Linked DNA regions of Diceros bicornis minor. The protein of the gene in region 1 purifies or fractionates together with the protein of each later gene. This does not show direct contact. Links are inferred from orthologs where the notes say so. Each region holds a gene or a part of one and is shown on either strand. Other genes may lie near its edges. The genes, in order: MICALL2 and RAB8A.

Region 1 (12,001 bases):
GCATTACAGACGGTATTCCAGGTGCCCACAGCCAAAATTCCAGCCCAGAGAGCCACTGCGATGGCAAAGCATGCGGCTGCAGGAGCCAAGGGGCTGCCGGGTCAGAGGCCAGAGTGCGGGTGCACCAGCCCAGGCCCGCACCCGCCCTGGGTCTCCCCATCCCAGGGCCCCCACCCAGATCCTCCTCGTCTGAGTCCCCCACCCCGAGTCCTCTCACCCTGAATTGTTGTCTGAGTTCCACTCCCTGGAGTCCTCCAGTCCTGCTCCTTTGAGGGGCGGGGCAGCCTCATCTGACCTCTGGCCCCCAGCCCTGGGCCAGGTAACACAGAGGCACAGACAGACACCCCTGGGCTCTAATGCCACTCAGCAGGCCCTGGATATGGCCTTGTACAAGTCACTCCCTCTCCCAGCCTGTTTCCACATCTGTAAATGGGCACGAAAGTGATGCCTAAGTCCCAGGGTGGCTGTAAGCAGCACCTGACACACAGAAAGGGCTCGACAAAGGGCATCTGTCACTGTGACCTGTTTTGTGAACAGAGAGGTGCTGTGATCTGGTCCAAGACACACAGAGATCAGAGGCAGGGCCGGGCTTCCGTCCGCCCTGGTCCTGCTGCCTGGCCACCCCCGCCAGCCCCTGCATGCTCTGTTTACCAGGAGCCGGGAGGGCCAGGCCCCATTACAAGGGGCTCCTATAAGTGGCGTGAGGAGGATTAATAATGTATTTTTAACACATCGTCGTAGTAGCTGAAAATGATCTATAAATGTGCGGTAAATGTTTTATAATGTTTTTGTAACCCGTTATAAATGATAAATGGCAGACTATAGATGCTGAATCAAATATTTATAATGCATTGTGTGCGACGTTGGGCTGTTACAGTTCAGGAAAGCCATTAATAATAAAGTGGATGGAAATGTAAAAGTTACCGACATGCCCAGCAAAGCCATTTATAATGAAATGTAAAATTTGGCTGTTGGAAGCAACCCACGAGCCCCAGCTGAAGCCCCGGCCAGGTTCTGGAGCCCGGGAGAGGAGCAGGGTCGTGAATTATTTGTGAGGTGTTCAGACGAGGACGTATACTATCCATAGCACACCATATAAATATGCTATTAATATACTGAGGTGGCATGCATTATTCATCGGGCCTAATTAATGGGCAGCCCCTTAAAATGGGGTGTTGCAGTGTCCAGCTCCCTCTCCTGCCTAGGGCCGAAGGGATGGCGTTGGCATCCACGGACACCCAAGTGAGCCACTGGCTGACCTGACTGTGGCCTTGGGAAGTGGGGGAGGAGGGGACATCCCTTGGACGTTCTGCTGTGAGGCCAGTGTGACCCTCCAACCATCCTTCCTGTGCAGACGGTGAGGGGGCTGGCATCCACTCCAGGGGGCTCTGTTCACCTCTCCCCCTGAGCATCCATCTCTTACAACCATGATTGCTACCGTGGGTTGGGCAGGGAGCTGTGTGCCCACAGGTCAGCCCTGGTGCCATCCTCCCTAAACACCCGGGGATGAGAGGCCCCATGTTACTGTGAAGATGAGGAGGCTCGGAGAAGTGAGGAGCCTTCTGTAGGGTCACAGGGCCAGCCAGTGTCTGAGCGGGCATTCCTACTCAGGCTGCTGGTCTGACTCCTAGCTGTGCCTTTGTGCCAGCCAGGGCTCCCAGTTCTATTCCACGGGACTCACATCTTGTGAGACGCTCCTGCAGTGGAGGTTCTTCAGGGAAGTCGGTTTGGGAACTGCTGTGCAGTGCGGCCATTCCCTTGGGAGTCACAGAACACATCAAGAGATGGAGGCTCTGAGAAGTCCCACAGGAAAGGCTGCACGGGCCAGGGCACCTCTCTTTGTTTTTTCTCTCGCCCCCCAATTCCCTCCCTCCTGGTTCCTCCCTCTGCCTCAGAGGCTCAAGGCACTGCCAGGTCTGCTGCGTTTGGGCGAGCAACCCCGATTCTCTTCGGACTTGGTCCAGCAGCCTCAGTCCAATCAGTTACTGGGGGCTGAATCCACCAGTTGAAAGGTCTACCGACCCCACCCCACCACGCCAAAGTCCCTACCCGGTCCCCACCATGGAGACCCTCCTGGGGTGCAGTAGCCATGGCGTCCTCCAGGAGCCAAGCTGACGTGCAGCTGGAGCCAGCGTTTTGGATGAAAGTTGGTGATGGCTCTGGCCCTGTCCCTCCCTGGGTCCCCAGCCCTGTCCCTGCCAGCCCGAAGGGCTGAGGCCTCCCCTTCCTCCCAGGGAGGGCCCCTCCATCATTACCAAGAGGTCAGACACGTGCTGGAGGCAGGAGGTGGGGAAATTGAGAACGTCCAGCCTGGAAGTCCTGTCCCAGCCCAGGTGGCCACTCAGCAGGCAATAGCCTGAGCTGACCCAGGCTCCTTGGGCCCACCTGCCCCCCTGCCCCGCTGCTGGGCTGGGCGGGTGGGCCCCCCTGTCTCTCGGAACTTGTTTCTCCGGCTGCAAAACAGGTAGGGTCAACCCACTTTTAAAGGGTGGCTGTAAGGACTAACCGAGAAAATGGGCGTGAGAATTGATAGAAGAGGCTGGAGTAGGGCCCTGGTGGGGCCTGCCCCCTCCTCTCTGCTCCTCTGCTGCGGCTGCACTAGCCTCTCACTCCTGTCTGTGCCGTCGTTCCCCTGCGGGGCCTCTGCCTGCGCCACGCTCTCTGCTGGGGAGATCCTTCCCTTTCCTCTGATGAGTTAATCCCCATTCTCCCTTCAGATCTCAGTGCTCATGTCCCCTCCCCAGGGACGCTATCTCCGGCCTTTTGCACCAAGACAGGGGTTCCTCTTTTACCATCGAGTGGCACTGAGTCCCCTTGGAGGGCTGTCACAGGTGCAATTTTGCATCTGTGTGTGTGTACCAGCCAGGGTGAGACCCTAGCTAGCTGCTGTAACAAACAAACCCAAAGTTCCAGCAAGCGAACCCAGCTCACATTTATTTCTCGCTCACCCACAGGCCAGCACAGCTGTTCCTGGTCAGCGGTGGCCACCTGCCTGACCCTGCAGTGTCCAAGCTCCTCCATCTGTAGCCCCATCATCTGGTAGGTCCTTTGCACCCAGCCAGCAGACTAGGGAAGATGGAGAGTCTGGAGGTGCACACATCACCTCCATCAGCCAGAACTCAGTCACATGGCCCCCAAGGGAGGCTGCAAGGGAGGCGGGAAAACTTGGTCAAGGCAGAGAAAACAGTGAGTGTAAAGGCCCTGAGGCAGAAACATAAGCATGTCCGAGGGGCAGTTGTAGGAGGGAGGTAGGAGAGGTAAGGAGTGTGGGGAGGGTTGGACGGCCCATTATAAGGACTGTGCTTTCCTCCTGAGGGTGATGGGCCCAGAGGAGGGGTGTGAGCAGGGGGTGGCAGGTTGTCACTCCCACTGTTAAAGATTTTGTGTTGAGAACAGAGTGGGTGGCAAGGCAGAAGCAGAGGCACGGTTAGAAGGGTCCTGTGGAGATCCAGGCTCACCCCTGGTGGTGGCTGTGGAGGTGGCCAGTGGTCAGTTTCCTGTGGGACTGGATGTGGGCAGTGAGAGGACAGGAGGCTTTTGGCCTGAGCAACTGGCCAGGTGGAGTCCCCATCAGCAACTGTGTGGCCGGCTGCGGATGGGGCTGGTTTGGGGTCGTGGAGGACGCAGGGGACCAGCGGGGCGGGGACTCTGAGGCCAGAAGGGGCAGGGCAGGCAGGGAGGGTGAGGCCAGGGTGTGGCAGGTGCAATAAGGGGTGGGAGGTGTGATAAGGAGCCTGGACTTTATTCAGAGTGCAAAGCAGGGAAGGGCTGGACCAATTGGCTTTCTAGAAAGATCCCTCAGCTGCTGGGGAGAGGTAGACCATAGTGGCCGGAGTGCAGGAGGGAGCCTAAGGGGACTGGCACAGCGGTCAGGGGCGAGGTGACGGTGGCCTGGACGGGAGGGTGGCAGTGGGGAGAAGTGGGTGGACTGGGTGTGTCCTGGCTTGGGGGTCCCTGGAGAGGAGCCGAGCTGACAGAAGGACATGCTGTGTGTGAGGTGCTAGGGGGAAACCACCATACGTGCTGTGCTGCCTCCCAAGTCACTGTCCCCAGAGGAGGCCGCATGGTGACCGGTGGGCAAGAGTGCAGCTTAAACTCCTAAGCATCAGAGCTCCAGCCACCTCCCACTTCCTTCCCAGGGAAGTGGGTCTCCAGCCCTGTCCACCCTCGTCCACTCTCTTCCCCCACCACTACTTCTTGGCCTTTCCCTTCCTCACCGGCTTTTCCAGTTCTCCTAACTGCTGCCCTGGGGGTCAAGAAAGCCCGGTTGGTTCCTGGTTCCGGGACGAGCCACCAGCCTGGCTGAACTGGAATGACATCACCCTTTGTCCTCTGGCTGGGAACCCCCAGCAGATCAGGGCAGCAGCCGTGGCCAGCGGTCATCCCAGGTCAAAGGGAATCCCTGTCTAGCACCTGTTTGCACGCGCCCTGCGACGGGGAGCTCACTACCTCCGCACAGGCCTCACTCACTCTTGGGTAGCTGGGCATCCACACCTCAGGATCCAGCCACAGGAAACAGCTGGAATGCCACGTGCTGGCTCTGGGCTGGAAGACTTTAGTTTCTGCTCCTTCAAGTGGGTGCAGAGAAGCTGCCCTGTCTCCCTGCCAGGGGCTGTTCTTGGGAAAACACCTTCCCTCTTTCCCTAGGGCCTTGTCTGGACAAGCCCTGGGGCCAGGTGGCCAGGCAGGGGGACCATCTCACATTTCTGGTGTCAGTGTCTCTGTCCAGGTGGCCACAGATAGAGTTCCACAAGAAGAATGTGGAGGGGACCAGCCCTGGGGTAACTGAGGGCCCCACAAGAGGTACTTTTCCTTAATGATGTGTGTCACAGATGCTCAAAGTGGAAAACTGGGAAACAGAACAGATCACCAAGACCCCTGAGGGGTCTCCTGCCCCAGGAGGACCCTTCCCTCCCCTCCCCATCCTATGGGCCACGCCAGGCAGGGCAGTGCAGCGCCCAGCCTCAGTTGTCCCTTCTGTAAATCGGGTAGTGATCCCTGCCTTGCCTGCCACTCCTCCAGCATGAGAACCCCGATGGGAAAGTCCTCTGAAAACCCAGAAATGCCAGGGGTGTTCCTGCCGTGCTGGGGGTTGGGGGAGCCTCCGGAGAGGCCACGGCTGCCCAGGGCCACAGGCAGGCCGGGGTCTATCTCCACCATTTCTTAGCCACGTGACCCCGAGCAAGCCTCAGTTTCCCCGTGTGTAAAGTAGCGTTGTCTTCCACCTCTCCATGACAGGGGTGGGGGGGTGGGGGGGGGAATGCGGGTGAGGGACGTTGAAAACAGACAATGCCAAAGCCTCCCGGGAGCAGTGGAGGGGGGGACCCCAGGCTGGGCGCCGCCCCTTCCCCTGCCTCGGGGCTGCGAGGGGAGGGAGGTGGGGAAGGGCGGGGCCTTGGCGGATGGGCGCGGCTTCACGGAGCTCAGCCTGGCCTGGGGCGGGGCTGTGATCTATCCGAGGACGGGGTCTGTTTGGGGGCGGGGCCTGGGCCAATGGCTCTGTCCAGGGAGGGGGCCTGAAGTGGGTGGGGCTTGCGGGGCGGGGCCGTGGTCCGGGGCGGGGAGGCCTGGCGGGGCGGGGGCGGGTTCTTTTCGGGGGAGGAGCCTGGAGGGGAGGAGGCGGGCTCTGTTTTGAGGCCAGCCACGGTCTGGCCGCAGCGGAGTCTGTTTGGGGACAGGGCCTGGAGGGGGCAGGGCCGTGGGTGGTCGGGCGGGGCCACGGTCTGGCGGGGTCTGGCTCTGCCTGGGGGCGGGGCCTGGCTGTAGCGAGTTCTGCCCAGGGGCGGGGCCTGGCTGCGCGGGCTCTGCCTGGGGGCGGGGCTCTGTCCGGGGGCGCGGCCTAGAGGGGGCGGGGCCTGGCGGGCGGACTCGGGCCGGCTCTCGCCGGCTGCGCGGCAGCTGCTGCTCGTCTTCCACGGGGCGCTGCCGCCGGGCGTCGGTCCCCTTGTCCTCCCGGGCTCGGGCTGGGTTCGCCCTCCGGGATCGGCGGGTCTGCGGTCCGCGCGAGCGTCCGTCCAGGGCGGCCGGGCCGCGGCTCGGGGAAGAGCGGTGGGAGCGCGGTGCGCCGGGCGCCGCTGCCCGCATGGCGGCCATCCAGGCGCTGCAGCAGTGGTGCCGGCAACAGTGTGAGGGCTACCGGGACGTGAGCATCACCAACATGACCACGTCGTTCCGCGACGGCCTGGCCTTCTGCGCTATCCTGCACCGCCACCGGCCCGACCTCATGTGAGTGCCCTCGCCGCGCCCCGACCCCGCGGGGAAACTGAGGCCAGACCGCTCCGGGCCGGGGGAGTGGGCACCGAGTCAGACCTCCGGGACCGCGGCCCTGGGGGGACGACCTCGGGCCGAGCAGAACCGGGTCCGCAGGTGCAACCCATTGTGGCCCCTGCAGGCTACCCCATGGCCTCAGTTTGCCTGTCCACCAAGTGGGGCTGGGCCGGAGCCAGGACGTCCGGCCACCCCCGCTGGCTTAGTCAGTCCGTGACTCAGGCCAGCGTCCTGGGCTCTGGCCACAGCCACCCATCCCCCTCCGTCTCCCTAGGAAACGGCCGGCAGAGCTGCCTTTCTGGGTCTTCTGCGATCCCCACTGTCCTGGGACCTGCCCACTGGATTGGGGGGGGGCTTCATGTGTGGAGCTGCGCCTCCCCCAGCTTGTCCAGGCAGCTTTAGGAACGCAGCCCAGGGTCACTATGGGGGAGGGGCCAACACAGAGCAGGAAGCCTGAGACCCCCCAGGTCCTGTCAGCCAGGCCTCCATACCTTAGGGTGATGGGGGATGAGATGGAGGCTGGGCCCGGATCCCTGGGAGCCGTGGAAAGTGGGCAGCGGAGGGGGTTAGGTCATTTATCCCTGTGGAGGGTCTTGGAGTCTTGGCTGGGACGCTGGCCCTGCCTTGCCAGATCTTGTCCCCACCCTGGACCCGCTCCAGCCGTTGTTCACTCAGCAAACACTCTTTGCTGTGACTGGGACCGGGCTTGCTGGGACAGAGCTCTGTGCAGGGAGGCCCCGGCCCCAAGCCCCGTGTGAACTTGAGATGGGGAAAGCTGCAGGGAAGAGTGCTGGGGCTGGGTGGGCGGAGGCTCAGGAAGGGTGTCCTTGGAGGGCCACCTGTAGCCCAGGCGCCTTCTAGAGAAAGCGTGGTGTTGACAAGCTTTCTCCTGAGAAGTGGCGGCTGGACCTGGGGTCGGTAGGGGTGCGCTTGCTAGGGAGGTCTTGGGGCTGGGAGAGGCCAGAGGGGGCACCTTCTAGATACTGACCAGTCAGGCCTTTTGCTGTACAGAGGGGGAAGCTGAGGCCCGGAGAGGAGACACCGTTGTTCAGGTCACAGCACACGTCAGGCACAGCCAGGGCTGGCTCTTGGGGCACCTCCCCTGCACCCAGATGTCCCTTGCATCCTCAGGGACTGTCCCCAAGCACCCCTCTGTGCGAGAAAGCTAGCCTTGAGAAAGAGGCCTGCAGGTATTTCCTCTTCCTGCCTGAGGTTGGGAAATGCATGTTTGGGGCTCCGTGGGGAGTCCTCGTGTGGTATCTGGGCAGCAGCTTCTGCTCCCCACACAGGGATGTGCCTCAGTCGCCCTTAGAGGCAGAAGACCGGGGCAGAAGATGCTTCCACGTTGAAACCCGAAGCTGAGCCTTGATGGGGGTGGGCTGGGGATGTGGAAACTGGGAGAGGGACCAGGAGTGGAGGTTGGCAGGCTGAGCCCCATGGGGGTGAATGCGGGGGCCCTGGTAAGGCTGGCTGGGGACCGAGCCCCACGGGGGTGCATGCAGGGGCCCGGGTAAGGCTGGCTGGGGACCTAGCCCAGGCAGCCTGGGTGGGGTCAGCATAAGTTTGCGATTGGAGGGAAAGATGATGCCGCTGTCTGTCAGTGCAGCAGCCTCAGGACGACGGCACAGGTAGAACTGAAGATTTGGGGCTTTTCCGAGCCCCCGGAGCTTGCATGTGCTCCCAGCTGTGCTGAGACCAGAGGCCTGGGTGTGTGTGTGCGCCTGTCCCAGCACGCACTGACGCGGTGAGCACAGGCGTGCACATATGGGTGTGTACACGTGCTGGCACAAGCAGGCATCCTATTGCCGTTCATGTAACCGTTATTGAGCACCTGCTGTCTACTCAGCACTGCGTAGTGTACAAGATGGACTTGGCCCTTGCCTCAGGGAGTGACGTTTTAGTCACAGAGACAGACAGTGCACAGATGAGTGAGTAAAAGCTCAAGGTAGCTCCAGAGGGTGTGAGGGCTGGGACAGGGAGGAAGAGGAGGCTGCCCGCCTGCCCGCAGTGACGTGTGAACATCCAGTTATCTTATTTACTGCTGACTCGGTTATCGTCTCGTCCGTCTGCCCACACTGGACCTTCAGCTCCAGAAGGGTGGGAATGTAGCTCTCTGTGTTGTCCACTGCTGGATCCCCAGTGCCTGGAACTGTGCCTGGCACAGGACAGGCACTCAGTAGAGATCAGCACGGAGTTGGAGTTCTATAGATGAGGTCGTGCACTTGGGGCTCAGTAGATGTGGTAGGAGTTCGGTAGCTGTCATTGCAAAGGGCTCTTCAGGTGCACAAGTGCCGTAGGGAGGAGGAGGAGGAGGCCTTGTGACTATGGAGGCAGAGGCTAGAGTGATGCTGCGGCCACGAGCCCAGGAACACCTGGAGTCACCGGAAGCCGGAGGGGCAAGGAATAGCATCTCCCGCAGAGGCTCTGGAGGGAGTGTGGCCCTGCCGACACCTTGATGTCAGGCTTCTGGCCCCCAGAGCTGGGAGGGAATAATGTCCGTGGTTTTAAGCCGCCTGGTCTGTGGTCATTTGTCACGGCAGCAGCAGAAAACGAGCACAGCCTTGGATACATGCCTCTGCCCCAGTGGTGAAGGACCTGCGGGGTGGCTGTCATTTCGGGGGAGCCCCCCAATTCCCCATCCTGGTAAGACCCTCTGGCAGCAGGAAAGTGGACATCCTGTCTCCACGTGCCCCAGCTTTGCCACCAGGAATTGCTTCCCTTGTCTCATCTCGATCCTTCCTGCTGCATGCGGCTCCGTTTCCTCTTGGCGGTGTGCGGGGAGCAGCTGCGAAGGAGCAGACTGGGCGCTGAGCCGGCCAGGTCGGGGCACAGGTTGCCTGACGCTACTTCCTGGTTCCGTCTCCGCCGCCCCATGTGGCCCTGCTCCCGGGGGCACGTGTGACCTGCGCTGGTGGCCCCCTGGGGACCCTGGGAAGTGAATCTCCGCTGGAGGTCGGGAGATGGGCTCACCCAGCGATGCCTGGCCGAGAGGTCAGCCTGCCGCGCCCACCATGCCCACCGTGCCTGCAGCTGCAGGTTTTCTGCAGGTTTTCTCAAGGGTCTGTTTCCCGGTGACGCCACGTCTGCTGAGCAGCCAGGTGAGCTCAGGAACCGCCCAGAACAAACAGCCCCTCCTGCCTCCCTGGGCAGTCAGCCTGTCAGGGCTGGAGCCGCTCCTTCCCCTTCCGGCCTGATCTGCCGGGACTGAGGTTCCAGGGGAGGAGCCCGGAGGAGGGCTGGCTTCCTGGCTGCCTTCTCCAGGGACAACGGAGGCCGGGCCATTGTGGGAGTTGTGGCTGGGCCAGGGGAGGGTGTCAGGAAATGGGGGTTCTGCTGCATATTTGCTGCTCTCCTCGCTCAGTCCTGTGGTGCAGTGACCTGTCCTTTTCTTCCAGCTCAGGGGCCGATGGCGGGGCCCGGGCCAGGAACAGGGGCGTCTCCCTGACCGCCCTCTGAGACGCGCCCATTGTGGGGGGTCAGGAGAGACTCACTCCAGAGGGCCCCCGCCCAGAAGCTTGGAGGCAGCCCTGTTCCCTGGGCTGGAGCAGAGGGTGGGGTGGGCCTGGGCGGCGAGGCTGACCTCCCCTCCCACGCCAGCCTCGCGGTCAGCAGGAAGCCGCCTGGGGACAGAGGCCTTCTGTTCTCTGGCCTGAGGTCCTGCTGCCCAGGCCCAGCTGCCGCCTTCCGGTGGAAAGGGGCCGCCAGCCCACCTCCCTGGGGCAGCCCAGGGCCCAGCGCCCCTGTGATGCCCCCCCAGGCCACCCCAGAAGCCCCCGGGCTGACCCCTCCTGGCTGGGCCCTGCTCTGAGGCCGGGGTGGGGGTCAGAGTCTGTTCCAGCCTGCGGAGGCCGGCAGCTGGGCAGCCGAGACCGAGGCGTCTCATTTGCCCACGAGAAGGTTGGGGCCTTGGGATGCGGCGCCAGCACCTCTTCTCCCTGCCTTGGGCCCCCGGCATCTCCTCATGGCCCGTTCCGCACCCAGCGCCATCCGCCCTTTCCCAAGGGCTTCCTGTGTGTCTGCCGGGGTGTGTCTTTCCTTGGAACCCCTCTCTCTGGACCTGTGGCCTCTCCTGTCTCATCTCTGGGCTTTTCGGTACCATTTCTCCCTTCTGTGTCTCAGCCTTTCTCCGTCGGTCTGTCTGTCTGTCGCCCTCTCCCGCAGGCGGGAGTGACTCCAGATGTGCTGGAGGTGCCTACAGCGCTCCCCCACCCCACCGTCAGCCCCCCTCCAGGCCCAGCGCCCACCCCCCACGGGGCGCATTCTGTTCCAGGAAATAAACAGCATGAGGTCAGCTCTCCAGGAATTTGGAAGGGGGTCCACATTCCCAAGAGCCCCTGAGGAGCTGGGCAGGAGGCTGGCTGCTTCAATGATCTGAGGTCCATGGTCCTGGTCAGCTGTGGCTGGTGAGGCAGGCAGGAGGCCGTGCCTCAGGCTCTCCCAGCCAGGCCAGGCGCCGGCCGGGGCTGCGCACACGTTGGCACCGAGCAGACAGTGGACGGGTGAACAGTCGCACAATGGACATATAGACCCAATGAGTTCATTCACCCGGCCAAGGTTGATAGGATGAACAAATGCCACAAAGGTCCCCTGGCTCGGCCAGCATTGGATGAATTAATTCATCAACAAGCATTTACAGAGCGCCAGCTGTGTGCCTGGCCCCATGGCGGGTACCTAGGAGTCGTACCAGAACATACCAGATCTTAAATTACGAGAATTCGACCGAGAAATGATGTGGCTGGGGAGGGTGCCCCAGGCCCCAGCCTGCCTGGTGTGCAGGCTCACAGCTGAGCGAGGGTGAAGCTAGCGCATTTTGGTCCAGCAAGGCCCTGAACGAAGCCAGCTGCCTCCCCGCGGGTCAGCCAAAGCTGGGCTATCAGTCTGCTGGGGCTGCGGAACACAGTCCTGCAGCATGGGCGGCTTCGACATCAGAATACGTCGTCTCACGGATCAGTGCAGAATCCAAGACCAGGGGACCGGCGTGGCTGGCTCTGGAGGCAGAGGGAGAGTCGGCCCCAGGCCTCTGCCCTTGCCTGTAGACGGCCATCTCCTGCCTGTGTCTTCATGTTGTCCTCCCTCTGTGGGCATCTCAGCATCCAAATCCCCCTTTTATAAGGACACCAGTCATCTTGAATTAGGGCTGCCCTGGTGACTTCATTTTAACTTGATTCTCTCTGAAAAGACCCTGTTTCCAAGTCAGGTCATGTTCTGAGATCCTGGGGTTAGGACTACAACAGATCTTTTGGGGGGCACAATCCAGCCCGTCACCCCAGCAGTCCCCCTGCTGGTGGAAAGTTGGTCCTGTTGGACTTCCTGAGAGGGCCGGGTGGGGTCCCTGCTTGGCGCTCTCTGAAGGGACTTGCAAGGCGGCTGTGACTCTGACTGATTTCCGCCAGTGCCCTGGCCTCCACTCCGAGCTGTGCAGCCCTCGGGGACTAGGGCGATCCCAGCTCAACCGCATGCTGCAGGGGACATGAGCTTGTGCGTTGGCCAGCTGGAGGCAGAGAAGCATCCCCCCGGGGACCTGCAGGGTGCCTCTAGGGAGGGGGCCTGGCAGGTGTGCTAGGCAGAGATGGGAAGGGGCATTCGGGCATAGGGAACAGCGTGTGCAAACGCTTGGAAGCTGGGAAGGGGTATACTAGGAGGAGGCTTGGTCTGGAGGGGTGTGGCAGCCGTAGGACTGACCAAGGTGGTCCAGCCCAGCTGTGGAGGCCTTGAGGGCCTAGGGAAGCAGCTC
Region 2 (11,451 bases), on another chromosome or scaffold:
AAAAGAAAAAAGAGGCACATTACTGTCAGCCCATTTCCCAAGCTGCCTCTGAGGCAGGCACTGCCAACCTGTGCAGGGAACAGCAGCCACGGCTTAGGGAGCACCTACCCGGTGATGTGCGCGTGGAATCTCGGAATCCCCACAACGAATGTGGAGGCAGCTGCAGAACTTGCTCCCCTCATGGAAGGGGAAGCTGAGGCTCCAAGGGGGACAGGAGCTTCTCAGAGCGAAGCTGGCAGCTGGCAGAGCTGCTGGGCAAACCTGAGCAGCTCAGGTGCCAAAGCCTTGCTCTCTTCCCTCCCCCACAGGTAGCTTGCCGAGTGGGCCCAACAGAGCCCTTGGCAGGTCACAGACCCACGATTCCCGCCACCCTGCACCTGGCCCTCCAAGCACACGGTGCACTGGGCCCCTCAATGCACTATGATACACATGGGTCTCCAGTTTTCACACATGCTGGTCCTTCTCTGCCAGGGGCCCCACTCCACCCGCCCATCAGCCTGGCAAACTTCCCCTTCTCCTTTAAGATCTGCTAGAAGGTCAGCCCCCAAGAAGCCTTCCTGATCCTGCCCTCCTTCTCTCCCACCCACGGGCTTTAGTTCCCTTTCCTCAGGATGAGGGCGACCTCTTGGCCTCCTTGGCTGCTCTCCAGGCTCCCACTGTTGCCCCCTCAGTCACCTCCCCAGCTTTCAAAAACACAAATTCAACCATGTTACAAAGCTAACCCCTGCTCCAAACCTTCCAGTGTGTTCACCAACAGACCAATAGATAAACAAAATGTGGTTAAACAAAATGTGGTATATCCATACAAGGGAATATTACTCAGCCATAAAACGGAATGAAGCTCTGACACACGCTACAACATGGATGAACCTCAAAAACATTGTGCTCAGTGAGAGAAACCAGACACAAAAGACCACATACTGTATGATTCCACTCATATGAAATGTCTAGAACAGGCAAATCCAGAGAGACAGAAAGGAGATTAGTGGTTGCCAGGGGCTGTGGAGGGAATGGGGAGATTGGCAGGCGGGGTGACTACAGAGTTTGGGGTTTCTTTTTGGAATAATGAAAATGTTCTAGAATTGACTGTGGTGATAATTGTACAACTCTGTGAATATACCAAATTGTACACTTTAAGTAGGTGAGTTGTATGGTAGGTGAATTATATCTCAATATAACTATCAAAAAACCCCAAAACACCTTCCAGTGGCTTCCCACTGCCTCCTCGGCCCCCAAATACAGTGAAAATAGTTGCCAGTGTGCTCCAAGGTCCTGCCTAACCTGGTCACCTCTCAGCACCCATGGCTCATGCCCCCCTCATAGCTGATTCCTAAAGATCCCAAACCCATTCTGGCCTCAGGGCTTTTACGCTTGCTCTCTCTTCTCTCTTGGAATGTTCTTTCTTTCCATGGCCACCTGGCTCCCCACTCCCTTCACTCAGGTCTCTGTTCAAGTTGCCTCCTCAGGGGAGCCTTCCTGACCATCTGCATTCTCTCTCCCCTCACTTGCTTTTTCTTCTTCATGCACTTATCCCCGACATCGTATATTTGTTTCTTTGCTCCATGAACCCAAGAGTAAAACTTGCTGATGCGAATGGCCTGCGTGGAGGGGAATGATGCGAATGGCCTGCGTGGAGGGGAAATAGCCAAACCTAGCCTTTGGCATGGGGAGTTTGTTCTCAATCTCTGACTTGAGGCTCAGGCCATGATGGAGATGCTAATTCCAGCCCTGCCCACCTAGGAGCTGTCCTGGGGACCACAGGGAACATAAGCCTGCACTTGGATTCTGCCCACTAGAAATAAGCTCCTCGAGGGCAGGGACTCCCACTTCTTACTCTGGGCAGCATCTCCAATGACTAAGCATGGGCAGGGGCTGAATACACATTTGCTAGAAGCCAATCGCCCTGCACACACACCTTGAGCACAGACCTCATTACATTTCTGCTTCCCTCTGATTTATCCGAGTCATCTCTGCAACCCCCGCACGGAGGCGGATGCCTGGTTCGCAGGAGGCGTTGGGGAAAGACAGCTGAATGAAAGAATTAAGTGCATCGGGGTCTTCGTGGTGCCGCACAGTTTACATCATCCATCTCCTTAAGGAATGAATAAATGAGGCCCTGAGGGGCAGTGGGGGCAGAGCCAGGCTAGGCAGAACCAATTCCAGGGAGCCACAGGGCCAAGTTCACACCACTAATGATCAATGCAGCTTATGAGAACAGGCTTTGGCAAAATGAAACCTGGGCAGAAAATGAACAGGCACTTAATCCCAAATCTATAAAGAAAACCTGGAGGTACACTCAGTGCCAACAGAGAATCGCCTTTATGCATTAAGTTGTATTTCAGGACTAAGCGGCCCAGTGTGGTCTCTTTACCCACCTCCTGTCACAGATGCACAGAGACATACGAAATCAAGAAGTACTGTTCAATTGGCAGAGCTCCACGGCATCACTCTGCCCTATCCTCCTCCTGGGTTATATTAACACACCAAATTTAATTAGGAAGTATAAATTTTATGGGGCCTAAGAATTATGAGGCCATAACTTCAAGGTCTGAGTGATTTAAACTTTCCTAGAAGACAGAGGCCTGCAGGAAGCTACATATCTAATGAGAAGAATCCTGGGTCAAGTTCACCTTCACCTCCCTATGCGACCTCGCCCAAGTCACGTCTTCGCCTGCAAATGGAAGCCAGCTTCCTTGGAGCCCTAAAGCGCTAGACTGGGTTTTCTGGTCAAGAATTTGAAACCAAAGAAAAACCCCAACTCCCAAATTGATCTCACTAATGCTCTTGCTGAGCAAGAAATTTCCGACGCCGGGAAACTGAGGTCTGGGTTGGGAGAGAGCCACAACCTGCCAGGAGTTAACATCTTCTTGACTGGTGGGGATGCAAAGGTTATCCCAAAGTTTGACCTTGGAGTGGGGGAAGGGGAGGAATTTGAAACACCTGTGCCCAGGGGAGGGCTGCTGTCATTACAGGAGCCATTCTGCTTCCTCTAGACAGCCTCTGGCAGTGGTGACAAAGCCCCTAGTCATTGTACAGTTCTGATCCTCAACCATCCAGAGCACTGGTCAAGGCAGAAAGCACCACACTTAAACCAAAGAAACAGGGCTCAGAGAAGTCAAGTGCTTGTTCAACGGCAAGTGGTGGCTGGAAATCAGGCATGATGATTTCCAGTCTAATTTTCTCAGCATTTGGCACCTAAGTGTTTTGCAAAGTGCGCTTCCGGAGGAGAGCAAAGACGGAATCAGCAGCTCATCGTGGGGTTCAGGGAGATAAGGCGATTGGGTTCAAGTTACACGGGGGTAAAGCAAAGCCCCTTCCCTAGGTTTTCTCCATTTGAGATCAACTCCTGAGCTTGGCGACCATTGTCTCACTTCCCCACTCCAGAGTGAGGCTCACAGGCCACTCTGTGACTGATGTTACCCCCAGATCAAACCTTTCCAAGTAGGCAGTGGCAGTTTTTGTGGCAGGGGGCGAAGTCAGCTCCACTTTTGTGGACGTCAGAACCAAGGAGTGGTAAGCCAATTCTGTTCAACCACAATGTGGGCTGGCCCTGCGGGAAAGGCTGTTCTGCAAAGTGACAACCGGTGTCCTGGGCCTCGAGATAGGGAAGTCAGGGTTGTCTGTGGCACTGGCTGATTTTAGTTTCTCCCTGAAGCTTTAATCCGGCATCTCCTTGGGGATGACGGGCAGGCAGCTGTCACTTGCCATTGCTGTCACCTTGACTGGGTCAGAAGGCTGGGCAGGAAAAGGGTCAGGACTCCCTCTCACCATTCCTTCTAGAGGAAATTCAGCCACAGGGGAAACAGAGTCAGGGGGAGGGGCTCAACTCCTGAATATTCCAGAGGAAAGAGCAGGGGAAGTCTAGGTTGGAGTCCTGGCTCCGAGGGGGATCAGCTGTGCTTGACCTGGGGGTGAGTGCTCGCATCTCTCTGGGATGGTTGAACCTTGAGTTTTGGGGTCAGACACACCTGGGTTCAAATCTCATCCTTGTCACCTGCACACTGTGTGACCTTGGGCGAGTCCCGTGCCCTCCCCGAGCCTCAAACTCCTCCTCCGTGAGATGGGCTCCTAACAGCAGCTAACACAGAGGCCTGGAGAGTGTGATATGCAGACAATAAATGCTCGACAAAGTCAGATGTCACGGTCCTTTTCCCATGGCCAACTCTCCGCGCCTCAGTTTCCACTTCTGTTAAGACCCCAAAGAACCGCTTCGAGGGCCTCTGCGACGACAGGAGATGACGGGCGCCAAGACCCCAGCCCAGGACATACGCTCCCAGACAAGCGGGCTGGGGGTCGAGGCCTCAGCCTCTCTAAATGGACACCCGGCCCTCCCCATGGCCCGGGAACCCCCGAACGGCGGTGGAGGCGCCACTCTTCTCCCCGCCGGCCCCCTCGACCCTCTCAGAGCCCTCAGTCAGTCCGGCCCGGCCGCTCCCTCAACCCCAGCCCGTCAGGGGCGCGCCCGGCCGCTCGCCGGCCCCGCTACCTATGGTGGAGATGAAGGTGGAGTTGAAGGCGTCCTCGGAGAAGCGGAACAGGACACAGGTCTTCCCCACCCCCGAGTCCCCGATCAGCAGCAGCTTGAAGAGGTAATCGTAGGTCTTCGCCATATTACACTCTCTCCCCAACGGGAAGTGCGGCCAGTGCCTGGCCACTGGCCGCTGGCCCCGTCCATCAGCGCGGAGCCCGCCCCCCATTGGCTCCCGGCCCGTCGCGCGTCACTGCGGCTGACGCCCGCCCCCGCGCCCCGCCCGTCGCCAGCAGAGCTGGGGAAGGGGCGACTGGGGCGCGGGGCCGGAAGCGGCCCGAGCACGCCGCTCATTGGCTGGCGCTCGGTACAGGGCGGGCTGCGATTGGCCAGCGGTGACGAGTCGAGGGGCTTCAAATGGGGATCAGGGCGGGGCCGTGGCACCCCCGTGTCCCCGCCTCCCGGACTCTGGGCGGCCCCGCCCCGTCCCCTGACGGGAGGGGTGGGGGGTGCGTCGCCAACGGCTCCGCGCGCTCGCAGCCCACGGGCGGGGCCTGGGGCGCGTGCGCACGCGCGCTGAGGAGATCGTTAGGCGCCAGCAGAGGGCGCACGCGCATGGGTCTCTGGCTCCCGCCCTCACGGCCCGCGCAGTCTCAGTAGGCGACGGGACGAGCGCGGGAAGAGACGGCGGCTGTAATCTGTGCTTTGCGGCCCTCCGCGTCAGGCCGCTGGGAGCCAAAGAGCAGAGGAACGTACGGACGCTCGTCAGAGTCGAAGCGAGGACTCCCCGAGACGTGCTCTGCCATTTCGGCGCTGGCCAGGCGACCTACTCCGAGATAGCCGGGCCTCCACCGCCTGAGCGGCCTCACCGCCGCGAGCTGCGCCCGGAGGTGCGCAGGGCTCCTAAGGACGCGCCTTGACTGCATTAGCGGCTGTCCGGGCCTCTCTCGGCCTCCTGTCTCCCGGGCCTCGCCCGCCGCCGCCCGGTCAGCCGCCTGAGGGCCGGGGCTGGGAGCCCGCGAGGGAGTCAGGTCGCGCTTGTGAGCGTCGGCTCCGGGCCGCCGGCGCTGTCGCCCTCACAGCGCACGCGCGGGCGTTTCCTCCGCGCCCGGCCCCGAGGCGGGAGGTGCCGCCCGGGTGTGTGGGGAGAAAGCCGGGCCGGCAGGCGCGGGCCTTCCCCGGCCCCGCAAGGGGGAAGCCGGCTTCTGAACTCAGGCCGACGAGCCGGCGGCCGCGGGCTCGACCACCACGGCTTCCCGCTTCTCGGGGATGGGCTGTGGCCGCGCCGCCGTGGGTCACGGGGGTGTCCGCAGGACGGCCCGGCCGCCGCCGTGCCCCTTGCGCCCCTCCGGCTCCGGTGGTCCTCGGACTGCGGGCCGCGCGGCCGGCACCCTCTCTGCTGGTGCCCTCGCGTCTTACCGGCCGGCTTCCCCGCCCCCTGGCCTGGGGCTGCTCCTCAGGTGCCGCCGAGGCGGTCGGGCTCTCCGCTCGTGCCTAGCTGGCGGCCCTCCTCTGCTGGGCTGTGCGGACGTGCGTGCCCGCTCTCGGCGTGGCTTCGGCGTCTCGCTGTGAGTGCCGGTCCCCGGAGGACGCGACGCAGCCTCGTCACCCCCTGCCCTCTGGGCGTCTGCCTTTGGGTTTGTCAGCATGTCCGCGACGGAACTTGTCCTCTCCTGCGCGCTCCAGCTTGTCCTGAGGTAGCTTCGGAGCGAATCCTGAGTCGTCCTGGACGCTTCCTTTCGTCCCTCACATCCTGGGTCTGAAGGAGGTTCTGAATAGCTCTCGAATCCGGGTCTTGTATTTCCGTTTCCCATCAGTGGTCGCCTCTCTCCACTGGTCTCCCTAATCCGGATCATTCTTTAATCCAGATTCCACCCTGCAGTGTGGCCGTTCTAAAACACGCACCCAGGACCCATCCGCGGCCTGGTGGCAGCACCAAGTCCGCACCACCGGGCGCTCGCCGCCCGCTGCGCTCCACCTCACCTCACGGCGTTGCGAACGCCGCAAGAGCCGAGGCCAGGTCAACAGGCACGGAGCACACGTTAAGGAGTGAGGCACGAGGGTGACAAACGGTATCCTGAGATTAGACTACCGTCCGGGGGGTGCGGAGGAGGGAGAGAAGGAACTTCAATCTAGTCATGGTAGGGCACTCGGGAGGGGTTACACCTTATTCATTGACGTTCCCTGCATCTGCCAGCTCAACAGTGTCAGCCAAGTGTTGAGTATGAAGGAAATATGAAGGAAATGTTTTTAATTGTAGTTGGTAACAAAAAATTGCTTGCATACTACACTAATGTTTTAAAGGCTTTCGTTTCTTTTTGATTCCCTGTCCCCCTTCCCCAAGATCAGATCCTGAGGCAAATATCAAAGCAATTCAGGTAGTGAAACTGCAGTCCGCTTTGACACTTGCTTCTTTAAGTTCCCTGCCATCCAGTCAGCTAAGTTTTAAGATTACTTCCTTCAGATCACTTCTTCCTTCTTATTCTATGGCAAGCACTATCCTGATTAATTGAAACATCTTCCTAACTGGTCTTCCAACCTCTAGTCTGCCCCTACTCTAGTCCTTCCTGAAAATGCTAAGTGGATTTTCCTAATGTATTTCTTTGATTTATTGATTAGTCTTCAGTGGCTCTCCACTTCTAACGCAGTCAAGTTCAGGCCCGCATCATTATAGATGCAGCCTACCTTTCAGCTTTCCTACTGCTTTCCTTTTTATATGCAACATACAGAAGACCTTACCCAGGCAGGCCTTGTGCTTTATGGACTCAACAGGGACCATCTTTCCTGCCCCTGTCTCATCTATTAAAATCTTACTCTGCACAGCCTGGCCCAGGCAAGATTGGGGATAACAGGAGCTTTTGAGTTACTGAGACAAAGTGCTCTCACCTGTAACATAGAGATCATAATCCTTATATCTTGAAGTCATGGTATAAAGCAAATAAATAACATTTGCTAAGTTCTTGGCAGTTATCTGTCCTTTCCATCCCATTAACATTCATTGAACCAAAATGGTGTGTATGTCCCCACACTCCAAAATTCACACAAATTGTAGTTTATGTAAAAATTTATTTGACCAAAATGTAGAAAAAGTGATACTATTACATATGATACAGTTGCAAGAATCTAAATGAAAAGTGTGGGTTTTATTCAGTTGCACAGTTTGCTAGTGTACCTCCTGGGTAGTGTGATGCTTAATAAATAGGAGTGAGGGGCAGAGGATTTGGATAAGCTAGAAGCAGGGTGATTTTTAGTCAGAATTGTAAACTTGAGTTGGCCCCCACATTGCTGGGGAATGTGGAATGTTTCAGCTCTGAGATGTTAACTGAGAAAGCAGAAATATAACAAAGCCAAAATGTGCACCCCTGTCTACAAAATACTCCATATCCAGTTTAATCAGGAGCTTCTTGGTCTTTTATTAACTTGGTCCTAAAGAAGGAATTAAAGTCCTAGATAAGTAAATCTTCAATTTGTCATTCCCTTAAGTATAGAGGAGATGAAGTTAGGCCAGTTTTTTTTTATTCTCTACTTCTGCCCAGTATTTGTTAACAGAAAAACACTCTTGCTCAATTATTGATGGCTAGCAGTCTTTTTGATATGGCTTCTCTGAATAGGACTGAATTCTACCATATTCATTCCTGCTGAGTGGATGGCCTCATATCAGAGCAGACAAGCATGGGTCATTATTGGAGTTAGACATCTGCTCCTCAGAACAACTTTAGAATAAAACACATAAAACAGCATAACATCAAAGATCTATCCAGAAAATACTGGGGTAATTATGACCATTTCCTGAGCATTCTCGTGCTGACTGCTCAGAGGATGTTTGTTCTGCACAGTGGAGTGTGGAAAAGAAGATGATTAGGTTAATCTATCTGTGCTTTATGACTTCCCACAATAGCCCCCCCCCGGTTTTTTTGTTTTTGCTCTGGATGGAAACTCCCCACCCATTTTAATGTGATGGTCCCTTGCTTCCTGTAGTGTGACCAATGCTGGTACAGAAGGTTACATCCTTCAGCCTTTTAAATTGACCCATGACTAGATATTGGAGTCTGTGTTCTGAAAGTGTGGGGTTGTCTATTCTCCCAGGAACCAAATGCCCTCAGTCTTAAGAGTATGCTCAATACGAAATACCCTGCCTACCTTAGGAATAAATGCAACTTAAGGATAAAAATGGAGCTGAAAAAGCTGGTGCCATTTGAAAAAAAGGAAGGAATTAGATTTAAGTGGTGCTCAAAGCTTCTCTGATACAAAATATTTGGTCATGTATTCATAATTTGCTTGACATTTCCAGCAAAGCAAAGATGCAATAACAAACTTTTTACAAGAGAAGAGAAAGACACGGAGCTCTGGAGTTTCTGTTGGAATAAGACTCTTCTGTCTTGGTTATATACAGTTAAGTTCATTTAGTGTCTGATCCAGTGTCTGATGTAAGCCCACGTTCTCTTCTTTGGCCTGGGCAAGTTTTTCTGGTGAGGATTAAGAGTGGGGAAAAATAAATTAATAAGCATCTTTATTAAAAAAAAAAAAAAAGGTTTCTAAACTCCCAACTGTCAGAATTAAAGTCATAGCAGAGAAGGTACTTTGCATTTTAATTATAGCAGAGTACCATAGAATAATAGAGATCAAGTACCAAATCAGGGATTTGGATAGGGTTGCAAGATAAAATACAAATTTGAATTTCAGATAAACAAGAGAGAAGTTTTTAGCATAAGTATTTCCCAAAATATTGCATGATATATCAAAAATTTATTCATTCCCTTTCAGATTTAACTGGGTGTTCTGTATTTTAATTTGCTAAATTTAATTTTAATTTGCTAATAAATCTGACAATCCTAGAGTCAGAACACCTGGATTTAAGCCCCAGTTTTGCCACCAAAGTAAGCCATTTAACCTTTCTAGGCCTCAGTTTCCCCATCTGTCAAATGGGGATAACAATACCAATGTGTGGTATAGGGGTTATTATGAGGAACAAATGGGAAGTGCTTTAGAACTTATGAAGTGCTACACAAACATAAGATATTAATCCTAGTTATGGGTGACTTAATACATTTTCCTCCTAGTGCCAGTCAATTAGCCTTTGGTAGAAAAATATAATCCTGTAACCCATCTTTCCTTTAGAGTTTCTGGGAATGGCTGTTTAAATTCCAGGCATTACTGTGTTATTGTGTTTGTGTGTCCATAGCAATGTAGTCAAACCCAAGTAAATGCAACGTGGCTGAAATTTACATACGGGTATGTTATTAAGTGATTGAGCTGCTGAAATAGATTAAAAAAAAAAGTAAGATGCCATTTAGAGCTATGCATGACAGAGCACGAGAGAGAACTGGTTTGCAATGAGCAATGGCCGATAAGGGACTAGGCCAAGACTCATTAAAATACTGGAGGAAAGCAAAAATGCCTCATAAAATGTGATAGGATCAGCTTGGAAATTTTCAGAAAGAAAAAAAAGAGACTGCAAAAATGGCAGCCTTTCAACTACAACTAGTGAACCTTTCATTTGATGAGGCACTTAAAAATCAGGTGACTATGATCTGGGAGGGTTCCTTCGGAGAGAGAACAGTGACCTGGGCCTGTCCCGTCTGGATGAACACGTGGTAACTGAGTGTCTACTATACGTGAGCCAATTTCTCAATTATCTCTTTTAATCCTTGCAGTCGCTGAAGTATCACCTTTATTTTGCAGAAAAGCTAGGTAGCTTGTTCAAGGCTGCACAGCTAAAGTGGCAGAGCTAGAATCCAAACCCAGATCTTCCGACTTCAAATCCTGACCTCCTTTCACCTTGCCACTTGGATTCCCTGGCATCTACTTTGTTATTAGGTCTGAGATAAAATAAATTTCCCTTAAAGCAATAATTGCCCTTGAGAACTGTGACAGGCCCATAGACTATCAACAGGTAGCAGTAGGTCTCCAAGCCCTAATCTCTGTAAATGAAGTTCCACTTCGATGCTTAGTTAGGCAGAATGACTGGATAGACAGGGCTGTAGTTATTTCAAAGGATGGAGGCTACATACGTCTGGAAAAATCCCAGGAACAAATACGCAGAGAGAGCAAACCAAAAATACTTGCCCTTACACAGTCTGTAATCTTTCCAAGGACATATGTATAGCAATGTGTGAGGAAGGTAGTTTATGCAAAGTTCAGTGTGGATGGCAGTTAGGAACCGGGGGGGCTGGGGGGGGGGTTGGTGGTGGAAGGGTGTGGGTAGTTTAGGGGAGATGTATTTTGGAGGAATGAATATAAAGAAGAATTGTGTTACCATCTGAATAAAAAATTACAGGATGAGGTCTAACAAGCTATAGTGACCAAAAATTGATGATGCTAATTGGAGATTTTCATGCCATTTTTCAGGCTCAAGGGCCAGCCTGGAAAATGTGGCTTGGACATCAAAATGTCAGCGTTTCTGGGACAATCTGAGGTCGTGGTGGTGGGGTGCAGGGGAGAACTGGATAGACTATTTGAAATTTGGATTCTCTTGGAAAAATCCATGAGCTTTTGGTCACTATAAGCATGACGTTTTAACACCTAGAGGCCAACTTTATCAGTTCTTACTAAATCAGAGCAGGGTTCCTGGTTATAGTTAACTCAAGTATGAGGGGAGACAGATGTTAGCATCTCAGGCAACTCTAGAACTGAGGACGGAATCACCTCACTTTCTTTGGCATTCTAGCAATTTCCACTCCCTTTCCCTGCTAATGGGATGCTCTTTCATTCCTTGTATCGTTGTTTTCTAAGGGCAGGGTATACAAGTGATCTTCACTGGTGAACTTCCTCCCAGGACTGGGAGCAGGAGAGATGTTCCACAAACAGTGAAGACATAGGGAACCCCAGGCACCATCCTCAGAGCATAGTAACAGAGAAAACAAACGCAAAAGGAGGAATAAGAAGACCAAAATGCCACTGCCACTGTTTGAATCTGTAGATCATGCCCCATTCAAGTGTAGCCTCTTTTTAGACACAAGCCAGTTTTTTGCAAGTTTTGCTGA

The links.
Region 2: the proteins of MICALL2 (region 1) and RAB8A purify together in Homo sapiens (co-immunoprecipitation; 3 studies listed by BioGRID and IntAct, with this or other methods). This does not show direct contact. The link is inferred for Diceros bicornis minor from reciprocal best matches to the Homo sapiens genes MICALL2 and RAB8A.

What each region holds. Positions count from the first base shown.
Region 1 is NC_080765.1:13,065,970-13,077,970, forward strand, and holds the start of MICALL2 (MICAL-like protein 2), read left to right. Parts: upstream 1-6,082; coding exon 6,083-6,225; intron 6,226-12,001. Other genes in the region: basic proline-rich protein-like, read right to left, coding at 5,424-5,605, 5,721-6,084. UniProt on the Homo sapiens protein: Effector of small Rab GTPases which is involved in junctional complexes assembly through the regulation of cell adhesion molecules transport to the plasma membrane and actin cytoskeleton reorganization.
Region 2 is NC_080759.1:4,348,007-4,359,457, reverse strand, and holds the start of RAB8A (ras-related protein Rab-8A), read right to left. Parts: upstream 4,646-11,451; 5' UTR 4,611-4,645; coding exon 4,487-4,610; intron 1-4,486. Other genes in the region: TPM4 (tropomyosin alpha-4 chain), read right to left, coding at 8,852-8,934. UniProt on the Homo sapiens protein: The small GTPases Rab are key regulators of intracellular membrane trafficking, from the formation of transport vesicles to their fusion with membranes.